Linked DNA regions of Canis lupus familiaris. The protein of the gene in region 2 interacts with the protein of the main gene of each other region in a pairwise test. Links are inferred from orthologs where the notes say so. Each region holds a gene or a part of one and is shown on either strand. Other genes may lie near its edges.

The links. The genes of interacting proteins can lie anywhere in the genome.
Region 1: the proteins of TLE5 (region 2) and NUDT22 interact in binary tests that used the Homo sapiens proteins (3 or more experiments, as listed by UniProt). The two-hybrid records come from large-scale screens. The link is inferred for Canis lupus familiaris from reciprocal best matches to the Homo sapiens genes TLE5 and NUDT22.

Annotation. Positions count from the first base shown.
Region 1 is NC_049239.1:53,334,803-53,342,346, reverse strand, and holds NUDT22 (uridine diphosphate glucose pyrophosphatase NUDT22), read left to right. Parts: upstream 1-3,383; 5' UTR 3,384-3,462; exon of another isoform or gene 3,463-3,629; intron 3,630-3,731; 5' UTR 3,732-3,749; coding exon 3,750-4,229; intron 4,230-4,593; coding exon 4,594-4,692; intron 4,693-5,174; coding exon 5,175-5,272; intron 5,273-5,411; coding exon 5,412-5,505; intron 5,506-5,792; coding exon 5,793-5,894; 3' UTR 5,895-5,956; downstream 5,957-7,544. Other genes in the region: FERMT3 (fermitin family homolog 3), read left to right, coding at 193-334, 462-641; DNAJC4 (dnaJ homolog subfamily C member 4), read left to right, coding at 5,991-5,998, 6,733-6,825. UniProt on the Homo sapiens protein: Hydrolyzes UDP-glucose to glucose 1-phosphate and UMP and UDP-galactose to galactose 1-phosphate and UMP. Preferred substrate is UDP-glucose.
Region 2 is NC_049241.1:56,592,165-56,598,421, reverse strand, and holds the end of TLE5 (TLE family member 5), read right to left. Parts: intron 5,911-6,257; coding exon 5,866-5,910; intron 5,371-5,865; coding exon 5,308-5,370; intron 3,824-5,307; coding exon 3,749-3,823; intron 3,662-3,748; coding exon 3,440-3,661; 3' UTR 2,538-3,439; downstream 1-2,537. UniProt on the Homo sapiens protein: Transcriptional corepressor. Acts as a dominant repressor towards other family members. Inhibits NF-kappa-B-regulated gene expression. May be required for the initiation and maintenance of the differentiated state.

The DNA.
Region 1 (7,544 bases), on a different chromosome or scaffold from region 2:
GCTGTCAAAGGCTATTATAATGATTTTATCAGCTAACACTCATTTTCTAGACGAGGAACCTGAGGCCCAAGGAACCTAGCTGACATGTGCCCAGCTTGCTCCCGGGCACCGTGCCAGGCTATCTGGGTGGGCTCCGGGGCCATGCAGGGCAGGAGTCTTGCTCACACTCTCTCCCCGCCCCACCGGGGCTAGGTTCAAGGGCAGCAAGAAGGATGAGATCCTGGGCATCGCCAACAACAGGCTGATCCGCATTGACCTGGCTGTAGGCGACGTGGTCAAGACCTGGCGCTTCAGCAATATGCGCCAGTGGAATGTCAACTGGGACATCCGACAGGTGGGCTGGGACTCAGGGTGGGATCAGGTTCCCGGGGGCGGGACAGGCGCAGCCAGGGGTGCAGGGGGGCGCGGGGGCTGCTCCCTTATCTCACCTCCTCCAGCCCCTCTGACTGCCCGCTCTGCAGGTGGCCATCGAGTTTGATGAACATATCAACGTGGCTTTCAGCTGTGTGTCCGCCAGCTGCCGCATCGTGCATGAATATATCGGGGGCTACATTTTCCTGTCAACCCGAGAGCGGGCCCGTGGGGAAGAGCTGGACGAGGACCTCTTCCTGCAGCTCACAGGAGGCCATGAGGCCTTCTGAGGCCTGTCTGATCGCCCCCACTTTGCTCACTGCCTGCTATGGCCACTCCTAAGCCCACACTCTCTCCAGACATGTACTGAGCTGGCACATTCACCTGCTGTCACTGGCTTTATGCAGACCAGGGACCTAATTGGGCCAGACTCTGCCATCCCCTAGGCTAGGGAGAGTGGATTATGAGCTCGAACAAGGTCCGCCCTTCCCTTGTCTAAGTGGCCAAGACTAATACCCTGAGCACAGGAGGAAGACCAGCTGTAACTACAGGATGAGGATAATTCATGGTTTCAAACTGGAGCTTCTTTTTTTGTTACCTTTTAAACTTTTTTTTAATAAATATTTTATTGTTGGATTATCCTTCTTCCTCTGGAGCTATGCTTGGGGGCCACTCTGACACTCTGTCTCTTCATTACCAGCCAAGGAGAGGGACTTTCCTGAGATAGAGACAAGAGGTTAGGAATGGGAGACCCATCAGCCTGGGGCTGGGAGCTGGGAAGGAGATGGCAGAGGGCACAGGCTCAGGCACCCCGAATAGGAGTAAGGTGGTGGTTCTCACGAGAAGGGCGGAGCTGCAGGGCCTCCTTGAAATACTTGGGAAGCAGGAAGCCATCAGCATTCCCTGGAGTCAGGATCACTCCATTGGCCGAGCGGAAGAAGGGGATTCCATCTGCAGACAAAGCCAGAGATGTAACTCCTATCCTCTCTGAAGCCCTAGGGCAGTCCTGCTGTGTCCAGACTCACCTGCCAGGGCCAGGGGCCCATCAATCAGCACAGCCACTTCACAATTTGGTCGCATGCCTGCAGAGACAATTGGAGCTGGGACCTGGGGCATGTGGAGTTGCAGTCATCAAACCTGGGCAGGCTCAGTGGAAGGTCCTGGGCTCAGGGGGGGATGGGGTGACTACAGCATGCAGAGCATGGAATGGCCTTAGATGAGAGAAGCTATGATACTTGGAGAGGGACCTGGTAGGACAACAGCTGGGGAGGGCCACTGACCACTGATGACACCAGGATCCCCAGGAAGTCCTGGGGCCAGGTGAATATGTGTCCTTCCCCGGCAGGACAGACCCTTGAGCAGGATGGATGGCCAGTGCTGCCAGAATGTGCCATGGACAAGCATGGGAGGCAAGGCCTGTGGGGTCTCCAGGGGCATCAGCTCCAACTCCGGTACCTGGGATGGGTTGGGGAACAGACAGCAGTGAGACCCTCTCCCTGGAGGGGTCCCACATGGTTCTCTCACTTGTCCCCTTAGCTCCCACCTGCAGGGAGTGACCCTGATTTGCCCGGATGAGAGGGCCAGTGCTGGGGTCCCCTGGCTGCAGGGCAAACCGCTGCTTCCGGTTGGTATCCACCACGCGCTGCACATCTTCAGCAGAGAAGCTGTGGAACTGGGGCAGCTGCAGGAGGGTGTCCAGGGGCACGAAGCCATCTGCAGGCAGGCAGGGTGCTCAGGAGCTGAACTTGTTCTGGCCTGGGCCAGAGTTAATAGGGCGAGCCACAGGTAACCAGAACAGAGTCTGGGCTTAGGGTTTATCTGTGAGAGTCTCCCCTTTCCGGGCCTCTCTTTCCTTAACTTACATGGGAGTAGGATCTGGCTTGGGGAGGGTCACAGGATAAGGGACTCTTCTATAGCATAGTACCCTGCCCAGAAAGGACTCAATAAACACCAGTTACCTTGACACCCCCCAACCCCCGTACCCACTCTTGGGTGTTTACTGGGCCACATGCACCATTAGTATTGCTGGGCCTGGACTAGACGGAAGGTCCTCTCCCAGTTTGCTCTAGACAGGATATCGGGCTCTGGGCCTCGGTGTTCCTTGCACGTGGAGGGGATGTGCCCTCTGTGCTGTCCCCATAGGGCCATGGGTCAGGCAGTCACAGATAGGCTCACACTGCTCCCTCATCTCCAACCACTCACCTCAGTCTTCAAGACTCTCACTTACCAGCCCTCATGGGAAGCCCCAGCTTCAGAGCCCCGTGACGCAGGGCATAGGACAAAGCCTTGGACAGCTGTACATCTCGGTCCTGTAAGAGCCCAGAGGTGACCCCTGGTCCCTGTAGTGATGCTGCCCTGCTGCCCACCCTGCACTCTGGGTGACCTGCTGCAGAGGGAGGCCACAGGGAAAGGAATCCCCACTTTCTGGGAAGAGAGTGTGTGACGCATCAGCCCCCATTCCCACCCACCAGCATATTCCAGAGAGTTAGGGCATAAAGTCCTCCTCCAATTACCACCAAGAAAGTGGGGATTAGGATGGGGTGGGCACACCTCTTCCCGGGGCCTGTGAGGCCTGTGAGCCCTTCGACTCCGGGGTCCTGTGGTTTCCGGCCTCCTTCCTCCAAGGGAGCTCATGGCTAAGACCTGAGGGGAACAGTGATGGGCGGGGACTGTCGAGGACCCTCTCCTGTCCCCACCCAGCCCAGCAAGTCACGAAGGACCAGTGAGCTGCGAAGGGGCTATTCAGCTCCTTAAACTCACTTCCCACCCATCCCCAACTCCCTAGTGCAGATGGGGAAGCTGAGGCCCAGGGAGCAAGATTGGCCCAAGGTCACACCGTGTCCCTCGCGAATCCCAGGGAAGCCTGCAGCCCCGCAAGGCGGCGGAGCGTCCCGGCTGACCGGGCGGGGGGAGCCCCGGGCCCCAAGGTCAGACGGCGCGGGCGGGCGGCAGCCGGGGACCGCGGAGGCGCAGGGAGCGGCCAATGGGAAGCCGAGGGCGGGGCCGGGCACTTCCGCCTCGGGGAAGGGGCGGGGCCTGCGCGGGGGCGGGGCCGAGAACCGGCTGCAGCTTGGAGCTTCCGGGTCCTGCGCGGGCTCCCGGCGCCTCAGGGTTGGTGGCAGGACCCTGGGTCTGGGGGAAGTGGACACGGAGGGGTGACCGGACTCAGCACCTCTGGGTGGAGGAGATGCGCGGGATTCCCAGGGCTGGCCGGCGGCGGGAATCTCGGGGCTCTCGCAGGGCCTTATAAGACACGCTCCTGCCCAGAGCGTGGTCACGGGGGTGCCCTAAGGAGGTCTGCGGCGGAGGCGCCCAACTGCCGGGCCCAAGGGTCGCCCTGGGGCGCTCGGGGTGACAGGCCCGGCTGTGTCCTCCCCCAGAGCTGCCCTGTCCAGACCATGGACCCCGAAGTGTCCGTGCTGCTGCAGTGCCCGCCGGGGGGGCTGCCAGAGGAGCAGGTGCGGGCTGAGCTGAGCCCAGACCATGACCGGCGCCCACTGCCAGGAGGGGACGAGGCCATCGCCGCCATCTGGGAGAGCCGCCTGCAGGCTCAGCCCTGGCTCTTTGACGCCCCCAAGTTCCGCCTGCATTCAGCCACCTTGGCTCCCACTGGCTCACAGGGGCCACGGCTGCTCCTGCGCCTGGGCCTCACTTCCTACCGGGACTTCCTGGGCACTAACTGGGCCAGCTCAGCTGCCTGGCTGCGACAGCAGGGGGCCACTGACTGGGGTGACAAACAAGCCTACCTGGCGGATCCGCTGGGGGTTGGTGCCACACTGGCCACTGCAGATAACTTCCTGGTCTTCCTGCGTCGGTCTCGGCAAGTGGCCGAGGCACCTGGGCTGGTGGATGTGCCTGGTGGGCACCCTGAGCCTCAGGTGAGATGCCAGGCTGGGTGCAAAGGCACAAAGGCTCAGCTCAGCTTTGCTTTCCTAATCCCTTAAAGGGAGGAGGGCGTTTGGGGTTGGCCTGGTGCTTCTCTGAAAGACTGCTCCGGGCAGCACCTCACCCTCCCCACTGACCTCTGATTCAGACCTGTGGGAAGCTAGGGAATGATGGGGGTGGGGTGGGGAGCAGAGGACTAGCTGGATCTCTGGTGGTCCATATTAAAATGGTGGGCCTGGGTCAGGGGATCACCGAGACTCTTACTCTGTGCCTAACCAGGCCCTCAGGGCCAGCAAATATGGGGGGAAGCAGGGTGGGAAGAGACGGAGAGCAGGGGCTGAGCCTGACCTCTCCTAGGCCGTGTGCCCTGGTGACAGCCCCCTGCACAAGGACCTCCCTGGGGAGCTGGTAGTGCATGAGCTCTTCTCCAGTGTCCTCCAAGAGATCTGCGATGAGGTGAGTGAGGGGTGGCCCAGACAATTGGGCAAGAAGGGAGGGGGTACAACATGCCAGAATTCCACAGGTGTGGCCTGGCAGGAGGGTCTGCAGGCATCTGGCATTGGGGGAAGGGCTTGGCTTTACAGCTAGGCATAAGGGGAATCCTAGCCCTCATATATCTGTGTGCCCCCAAGCTCTTCCTTTTTAAAATGGGAGTAATAAATGTCTTGTCTACTACCCCTCTATCCTTCCCCTGTTTGTTGAAAAGAGCTGTAAATGAGAGTCTTAGTTACTTTGGCCTTCCCTTGGGTGACCCTGAGCAAATTGTTTGGTCTCTGCTTTCTCATCTGTAATATGAACATGCCCAAGATCTGACATTTTGTGACTCTGGACGCTTGAACTACAAACTATAAAATGCTGTACAAGGGTAATGTTCTCCACTGAGAGGGGCAGGGATGTGGGCCACGGGCACTGACAGGTGGACCCCCTGCACCAACCAGGTGAACGTGCCACTGCCCACCCTGAGCCAGCCGCTGCTGTTGGGCATTGCCTGCAATGAGACCAGTGCCGGCCGTGCCAGTGCCGAGTTCTATGTCCAGTGAGTGAGCTCTGGGCTACAGGGTCCTGGGTCCTGGGGTAGGCGGGTGCTTCAGGGGAATGGCTGAGACAGCTGGGATTCCATGAGGACATTCCAAGGGCCAGGCACTCTCCCAAGCCACTCTCCTGTCCTTTTCCAGGTGCAGCCTGACTTCTGAGCAGGTAAAGAAGTTCTACACCAGTGGGGGAGCTGAGGCCCACGAGTCGACGGGAATCATCTTTGTGGAGATACAGGTGTTTAGTGCCAGAGTGTATCTTGCTTGGACAAGGAGCTGATGATGCACAGGCCTGGTGATGCATGTCTACCTCCCTGGGGCTGGGTCAGATAGGGCTGCTAAATCTCTTAGAGCTTTCCTCCAGAGCCACAAGGCCTCCTTGAGGATGCCCTCAGCCCAAGAAGCCAGGAGCCTCTTCACCTAGGGACGGTGAAGTGCAGAGGGATCTGAGGCTCAGGAACACTGGGCACAGCTCCCGCAAGAGACCTGAGGGCTGGATGTCAGGGATCTTACTTTCTCCCGCAGAGAGTGCAGAGGTTGCAGGAGACCAAACTGTGGGCTGAGCTCTGCCCCTCGGCCAAAGGCGCTATCTTCCTCTACAACCAAGTCCAGGGAAGTCCCGCCTGAGTCATCCTAGGGCCCCCAACCCTAGCACAACCTGGAAGACAATAAAGGACTTTATTCTTGGATTCCGTTGGCATCTGCTGGTTCCGTGAGACAGAGATGGACCGGTGGGTGAGACTGGATAAGTGTCTTGGGAAACAACCCCCACCACCCAGCCTCAGTTTTCCCCTCTGCAAACTGGGGTGAGGACCGCGCCCCCTTGCCCCGCTGTGGTGAGGGCCCGAGCTTCCCATGAGGTGGAAGCTGCTTTATGAAAGATGTCTCGCTGGAAAGCCCAGTAACATCCCTGCCGGAGACCGCGCCGGACGCTGGGTGGGCGGGGCAACATCCCTCCAGTTTCGCGAGCGGGAGCCTGAGGCTCCGCGGGCCTCCACGTCGTTGGGTGGGCCCGAGGCGCCAAAGGCCAATGGGCGTGCGGGGGTGTGGCCTTTGACGCACTTCCGGGCCTTCCGATTCGGTGGGTGTAGCTTGGGCGTCTAAGCCAATGAGAGCGCGGGGGCGGGGCTCGCATAGGCGTAGGGGGCGGGGCCTGGCAGGCCCCTCCTTCCCCCGCCGCCAAACTCCCAGGGTGGAGAGGGGGTCCCGACGTCTGGGACTGGTTGTCTGGGACACCAAGACCAGTGGGGGAAGCGATCCGGACCCCCGGGCTAGCGGCAGGGGCAAGTCCAGGTCACTGGGGTCTGGGCCTGAGTGAAGGAGGCCTCACCGCCCCTGGGTCCTCTAAAGCTGGTTCCGTTTGCCGACGCTAGTAAAAGGAGCCAGGCCCTTCCCTTTCCCCCCGGAGTGCTCGAAGTGTGGTCCCATCCTGGTCCCAATGCACTTTGTGGCCTCCTTTCATCAGCCGCCTGCCAGTCGCCATGCTGTCCCTGTGCCTGTGCCGGTTCTGGCCCCGCAGCCCTTCCACCCGGCTCTTCTCGGCGGCCACCAGGCAGCGGTGAGTCGGAGGCCGGGGAACCCCCGGGGAAACCCCCCCCCCTCCCCGGCAGTCAGTGGGTTTTCGTTGAGGAAGGCCTGCCCAGCTCCAGGCCTGGACCTAGGTACTAAGATAGTTGTGATCTCTCTACTCTGTGTCAGGTGCCTTACAGGCTTATTTCAGGTAACCCTCACTTTGACTATAGAGGACACAAGATCAAAGATGAAGAGACGACCCTCAAGGTCATACAGCCAGTTAAGAGGCAAAAGTGGAATTTGAGCCCAAGCCAAACTCAGTGCTCTTTTCACGACTGTCGTGGTCGTGGTCGTCGAACATCAGCATCACTGCAGAACTCACTGGAGGTGTAGGGGCGGAGGTGGCTTACAAAAATGCAAATTCCTAGGCCTTGTTCTGGAGATTCTGATCTGCAGGAATGAAGTGGGTTTTGGGAATCTGTGTGTGTGTGTGTTAAGATTTTATTTATCTATTCATGAGAGACACACAGAGAGGCAGAGACCTAGGCAGAAGGAGATGCAGGCTCCATGCAGGAGCCCGATGTGGGACTTGTTCCCAGATCCCAGGATCACATCTGAGCCAAAGGCAGACACTCAACTGCTAAGCCACCCAGGCGTCCCAGGAATGTTTTTAAACAAGCTTCCTGGGTGTTTCTGTTTAAAGGGGTCTGAGGGCTACACATGGAAATGTTCTGATCTGCCCATACTTGAAATACTCAAAAGGGG
Region 2 (6,257 bases):
GCGCCCTTCATCTGCCAGCAGCATCAGGAATCACAGCATCAGCTGACAGCTCGGGCCCTCGCAGGCTCCCTGCTAATTCTCCCACCGATTTCCCAGAAAGTGACATCAGACAAGTGACCTCACTTGCCTCAAATCTCCCGTTAGGGTCTGAGGCGGTGGCAACCCAGGTCGGCCCTCAATAAATGTGCTAACATTTATTAAGTTGCTCCTATGAGCCAATTAAGAAAAAAAAAAAAAAAAGAAAGAAAAATCCTGCCACCAACCCTCCATCCCGGCTGGGCCTCACTCCCTATCCACACACACGCGCTGACACACTCTCTATTTTCCTGGTTATCTGTCTTTTCCAGCCAGAGGGCAGGGATTTATATCTTCTGTGTCCTGGGGAGCTCAGAGGTCTCAATAGATGAATGAATGAATGTGCCCAGAGCCGTAAGCATTTCCACCGATTAAATAATACGATCTTCATAACGAGGTTTGTTCTGAGATCCTACCCATTTTACAGATGGGGAATCCAGGATCCACGGGGGTGGAGCTGCTCGTCTACACTCTCCAGCCGTGAGAGCAAGAGCCGGGATTTAAATCGAGGCTGGAGACCAACCGGCTTCCTGGAACCATCATGTGACATATTAATATGTTGTCTGTGCGGGACCCAGGTGGAGGGACCCCAGAGTCCTGCTTTAGGGGAGGGTCAGGGGACAAAAGGGACATCTGGAAGTCTCGGAGGATTACAACCCTGGGGAGGAGGGGGAAAAAAGAACAGGGTTCCAGACAGAGGGAACAGCATGTGCAAAGGCCTCTAGGCAAAGGAACAGCAAGATGCTGCAGTCTGGCTGCAGCCTGCTGAAGAGGGATAACTGGGAGTCTCGGTAGCAGGACCAGCTGCCATGGAGGCCCCCAAAACCTATTTCTCAGGATTTTTTTAAAATCGTGAATTGTAACACACAAAAGAGCGCACAGGTTGTAAGCGAACAAGTTGATGATTGCAAAGCGCACACACCCGTGTCCTGAGCCCCCCCCCCAGTTAAGAAATGAAACATGGGCAGCCCCGTTAGAAGTCCCCCTGTGGCCCCCCCTGCCAAGGGTAACCCCATGACACCTGCCACTGTAGGTCACCTGGGCTTGACTTTGTTCTTTTTTTTTTTTTTAATATTTTATTTATTCATGAGAGACACACAGAGAGAGGCAGAGACACAGGCAGAGGGAGAAGCAGGCTCCCTGCGGGGGGCCCGATGTGGGACTCGATCCCAGGGCCGAAGGCAGACGCTCCACCGCTGAGCCACCCAGGGATCCCTTGACTTTGTTCTTGGTAGAAATGGGACGTTCGGTATTTACGCGTTTGTACCCGGCTTGCCTTGTTAAAGGGTGCGCGAGATGCGGTGGGCGGTGTCGGCGGAGCCGGGCCTCGCTCTTCTTCGCGGCTGCATCGTGTTCCAGGCACGATTAGGTCACGGCTCGTCTGTTCTGCTGTGGTTTCCAGTCCGGGGAAGCGGTGACTGGGGACAGCAGCTCTGAACGCCCTCGTTCGTGTCTTTGTGGGGGCAGTGGCCCGGCGGTGGTGGCCAGTCTGCCGGGACACAGATCCAGGAGCAGGGGAATCGCGAGGTGGGGCCCAGGTAGCCTTCCAAGTAGCTGTGACAACTGGCGCTGCAAAAGGTTTACGCTCTCCCAGGGTCCTGGGCGAGTTTGGGCTTTTGGCACAAGGATGACTGGTAGGCAGGGAGGGACCCCAGCACGCTGGCATTTCTGGAGGGGCTCCGGCTGCGGTGGTGGACTGCTGGGGCACAGCAGGCGGCTGGTGGGACCATCGGGTCACGCGCCCCCCCTCGGCCTCTCTTTCCTCGGGGACCTGAGCCACTTCCCCAGAGGTAAGCAGTCCACCCCAACCCCCCTCCCTGTGCCCTTGGTCCAACCTGGGAACCCACTGGATTGGGGCAGGTGGGAGTTTCTCGGAGTCCAGAAGTCCCTTGGGTGCCCGGGTCCCTTAGGGTCTGCAATCTACACTGCCCGCCCTGCCTCATCCTCAGCCTTGCCCCGTTCCCTGGGGGGGCAGCCGGAGGCCTCTTGATAGCCTTCCTTGGGGTTCCCCTGGGTGGTCCAGCTGGGGCGTGGCAGGGACGCCTTGGACAGGTCCTCGGAGGGTCTGGTTCAGCTGGGGGGGGGGCGCTGTGTGTTCTCTGATCTGGCCAAATGGGCAGAGTGGGGATGCAGTGGGCGTGGGTCCTGCGGGCTCAAAGTCTGGTGTCTAAGGGAAAAGAATGGCACCGAGGAGCCCTCTGGCCTGGGGATGGGAAGCCGGGTCAGCTCCGCTTCAGGCCCCTGGGCCGGGCTGTGTGACCCAGAGCCTCCAGCTGCCCCTCCGGTCTGGGCATCAGTTCGGGAGACAGACTACAGGGACAGGCCGGACCCCCCACCCCCACGGGGACTCTCCGGATCCGGCCCGTCAGGAGGAGGGAGCTCAGACACGAGGGAAGCCCCCTCCTCCCCTGGGAAGGGGGGCACCGCGGCAGCCCACAACACAGAGGCAGGAACAAGGCAACCAACCTTCTCACATCTTTATTTGAAAGGCACAGCTAAGCCCACCCTCGGTACAGCAGTCTCCCTTCTCTCCGCAGCGATCAAACGACTCTACACAACAAAAGCTGACAAGTCTAAAAGGCTATATACAGACACAGGTGTGGGTGTTGCTTGTTTTTTTAAAACATTTTTCTGTCCTTTTTTTCTTTTTTTTTTTTAAATATCCCTTTTCTTAAAAGACAAGCTAGTGTACTGGAAAAAGGAAAAAAATAAAATAAAAACCAAGACAACTTGAGTACCCTCATCTTTATTGGGGAAGGGGAGAAAGGGAATTCTGGGACGCCCGCCCGCCCCCACCCCTGCGCCTGGCTAGGCTCCCTCTCTCCGCCCCCTCTCCTGCAGGGGAGAGGAGCGGTGGGCGTGGGCTCTGGAACTAGCCTTGCGGAGGAGGAGGGGAGTGAGGGGGGAGGGACGCGGGGTGCCCAGGGCGGGAAGGGGCAGCTAGCGTGGTGTTTGCATGCAGTGCCAGGGTGGGAGGCTGGGGGCGCGCCCTGAGGGGCCCGGCGGGCGCGGGCGGGGAGGTGCGGGGGTGCTGGGCTTCTGGAGGCTCTGCTGTCTTCGGGCCTGGCCTCCCCTGTGCGCCTCCAGGCCTCAGCTTACCTCCCGGGTGGAATGGGCAGGTATTGGCCCACTCCGGCTGCAGGGGGGGCGGGGAGGAGGGGAGAGGGAGGAGGAGGAGGGAGGCTGGAGCCGGGGGTGTGAGAAGCTAGGGGTGGCACACAGGCAGGGCTAGGACCCCAGCAGGCGGCTACCATAAATACTACCGAGTTCAGCCAATCCCGAGCTACACTGTGTCTTGCGCTAAATGTTCCTCTCTCCATGTCTGTGTCCCCTCGCCCCCCCACCCTCCCCACCCCGCCACCCGCTAATCCGACTTCTCGCCGTCATCCTCCTGGTGGGTGTCACCGTCGTGCCCGTTCTTGTCTTCCTTGGAGAGATGGGCCTGGGAGCCCAGCGCAGACAGCGAGAGGAGGCCGGTGCCGGCACTGACGGCGGGCAGCGAGGGTGGCTGCAGCCCCACGGGCAGTGGGGTCAGGGGCAGGGCCAGGGCCTGCAGCTGGGACAGCTGATGGGCTTGGAGCTGCTGCTGCAGGGCAGACGGAGGGAAGCATTAGCTGCCTGGGGCCCCTGCCCACCCAAGGCCCACCCAAGGCCACCCAAAGCCCAGACGTACTCGGATGATGGAGTTCAGCTCGGGAGCGGTGACCTGCTTAGCCCTCTCGATGGCTCCCAAGACCTGCTGCTGGTGCTGGAAGGGGGATGGGGTAGAGACAGAGGAGCCAGGTGCTGTGCCCCGATCTCTGTGCAGGTTTGGGGCACAGAGCCCAAGAGGAGCCACCCTCCCTGCCCCCGAAAAACCCCTCCCTCCAGCCGCTTCTGTTCACCAAGCCCCAGTCTCTTCCTCTGGAAAATGGGGACAAATGACAGATTCAAGAAGACCCAAGGGGATTGGTGCCAGATACTGAAGAAAATGCCATTAGGGGAGTCTGAGAGAAACCCCGGACCATGACCTATTCAATGCCATGTGCAAAGGAGTCAATGAACAGTGCACAACCTGGCCAACCATACAGAGAAGACCTGATCCTAAGAGCCTGCAGCCTGTGCCTCTGAGATCTGCTAATCCAAGATCCTCTCCTTGCACAACTGGGGAAGGCCCAGTGGATTCTGGGTTCAGGGCAATCCCTCCCACACCCGAGCACTCCCTGAAAGTCTGTTTCTCCTGCCAGTTTCCCTTTTTGCCTTGCCTACCAAGAAGTTCCTGTCATGAAAGGAAAGCACAAGTCTAGGTCTATCAGAGCCCCAAGAACCCCCTTCTCTAGGGTTTTCATAGTATCCTTCTGGAATTGTCTCTGGGCAAGCAGGTTACCCAAAGGGCCCCAAGACATGGTCAGGAATCCAAGAGGAAATGATAAATTATGGACAGGAAGCCTGGCAGAGGGCAGGAATGGCTCCGGTGATGGAATGGGCCTCACACCAACGGTCTTAAAACCCCAAAAAGCCGGGATGCCTGGTTGGCTCAATGGTTGAGCATCTGCCATTGGCTCAGGTGGTGACCCTGGGGTCCCAGGGTCGAGTCCCACATTGGGCTCCCCGCAGGGAGCCTGCTTTTCTCTCTGCCTGTGTCTCTCAGGAATAAATAAATAAAATCTTAAAAAACAAAAAACAAAAAGCCAAAGCAAGAGCTCAGTGCGTGGTTCCCCGGGGTGCGTGTCCACGCGTCCCTGCGTTCATGTGCGTGCAGACCTGTGTCTGCAGGTGCGCGTGCGAGCCTCATCTATCTGTGTTGAGCCCGTGCACGCCTGCCTCTGTGTGCACGTGTGTGTGCAAGTGCCCTCCCCGAACATGCGGCCCCTGGTTTCTGGCCTGAGGCGGCCCCCAGGGGCCTGGCACACAGATCTCAGAAGGGAAAAAGGCAGAAGCAAGAAAGGGAAAAAAAAGATCCTTGGTGCAGCCTTTGGCATATCTGACGTCTTCACCCACGAAATGACTCACTCAGGCTGGGAATTCCACAGCAGGGTGAGGCCCCTCCCTGTACTGCCCTGTGCCCCTGGGGTTCCTCCGATCTGCGGATCTTCTGTGTCTGGGAGGTCCAGAGAGGGGAGGCGTGTGCCCTGGGCACCCAGCAGCTGCTGCCCCAGAGGGCCGTGGGCGGGGGTCGGGGTGGGGGGAGGCCCGGGCAAGTTCATGGCCCAACCACCTCCTCCTCCCTTCAGCCCCGGGGGTGCCACTCACCTCTTGGGAAAGGTAGGGTAGGACCTGGGCACAAATCCCATTCAGCCTCTTGACGATCTCGGCCTGCAACACACAGAGGCTTCAGTGCAGGGGAGGCGGCGGGGAGGCGGCAGGGGCAGGTGCAGACCAGCCCCAGTAGCTGGCGGGGTTCCGGCTGAGAGGAGCCCAACTGGGCCCCGGGTCGCATCAGCACCTCAAGCCTATGGGCACCCAGTCGGAGGCAAAGGTGGGCTCTGGGGCCAACCGGGAGTCCAGGCTCGGGGACTGGGTGGCCCTGGGAAGATGCCACCCAGCATGGGGGAGAGGGTGGCCCACAGCACAGTTCTTAGGACATCCCTGATATTGGCCGACCTCAGGGGGCCGGAGGGCGAGGGGCAGTCTGGGGGTTCTCAGTGTGCTGGCGTGTCACCCCCTCCCACAGGAGTCAGCCGGGTGGGGGTGGTAGTTTGGGGGAGGCCGGAGAAAGAACAGGGAGAGGGGTGTGGAAGGTAACAGGATAGGGGGGTAGACCTGGGGGTCACCAAGGGGCGGGCCCACCTGCCTGGGGTGGTGGCCTACCTGCTTGTGCATCTCGATGTTCAAGCCGTAGGACATCTCGTAGTACTGCGTGGTGGGGAGACAGAGAGAGAAATGGGGTGGGCCAAGGATGGGACGCACAGTGTGGGAGGACGAGGGCAGGTGGGGCGCGCATGCGGGAGCAGGGTCTTGGCCCCTCATGGGGCCACTTGCGGGGAGCTGGGGAAGCGTCAGGGCCCCAGCCTGGCCCCAGCCTGGCCCCAGCCTGGCCGGGCTCCCCTGGCTTCTGGAGTAATTATCCAGCCCCCTCTCCAGCACACATACATTCCAGGGCGCCTAATCTTTTATCTTTATGTGTCTTGTCTGCGGGTGGCCCCAGACTCCAGGGAAGTTGGCCTTCCTGGGTATAAATAACCAGGATAAACAAAGCCTGC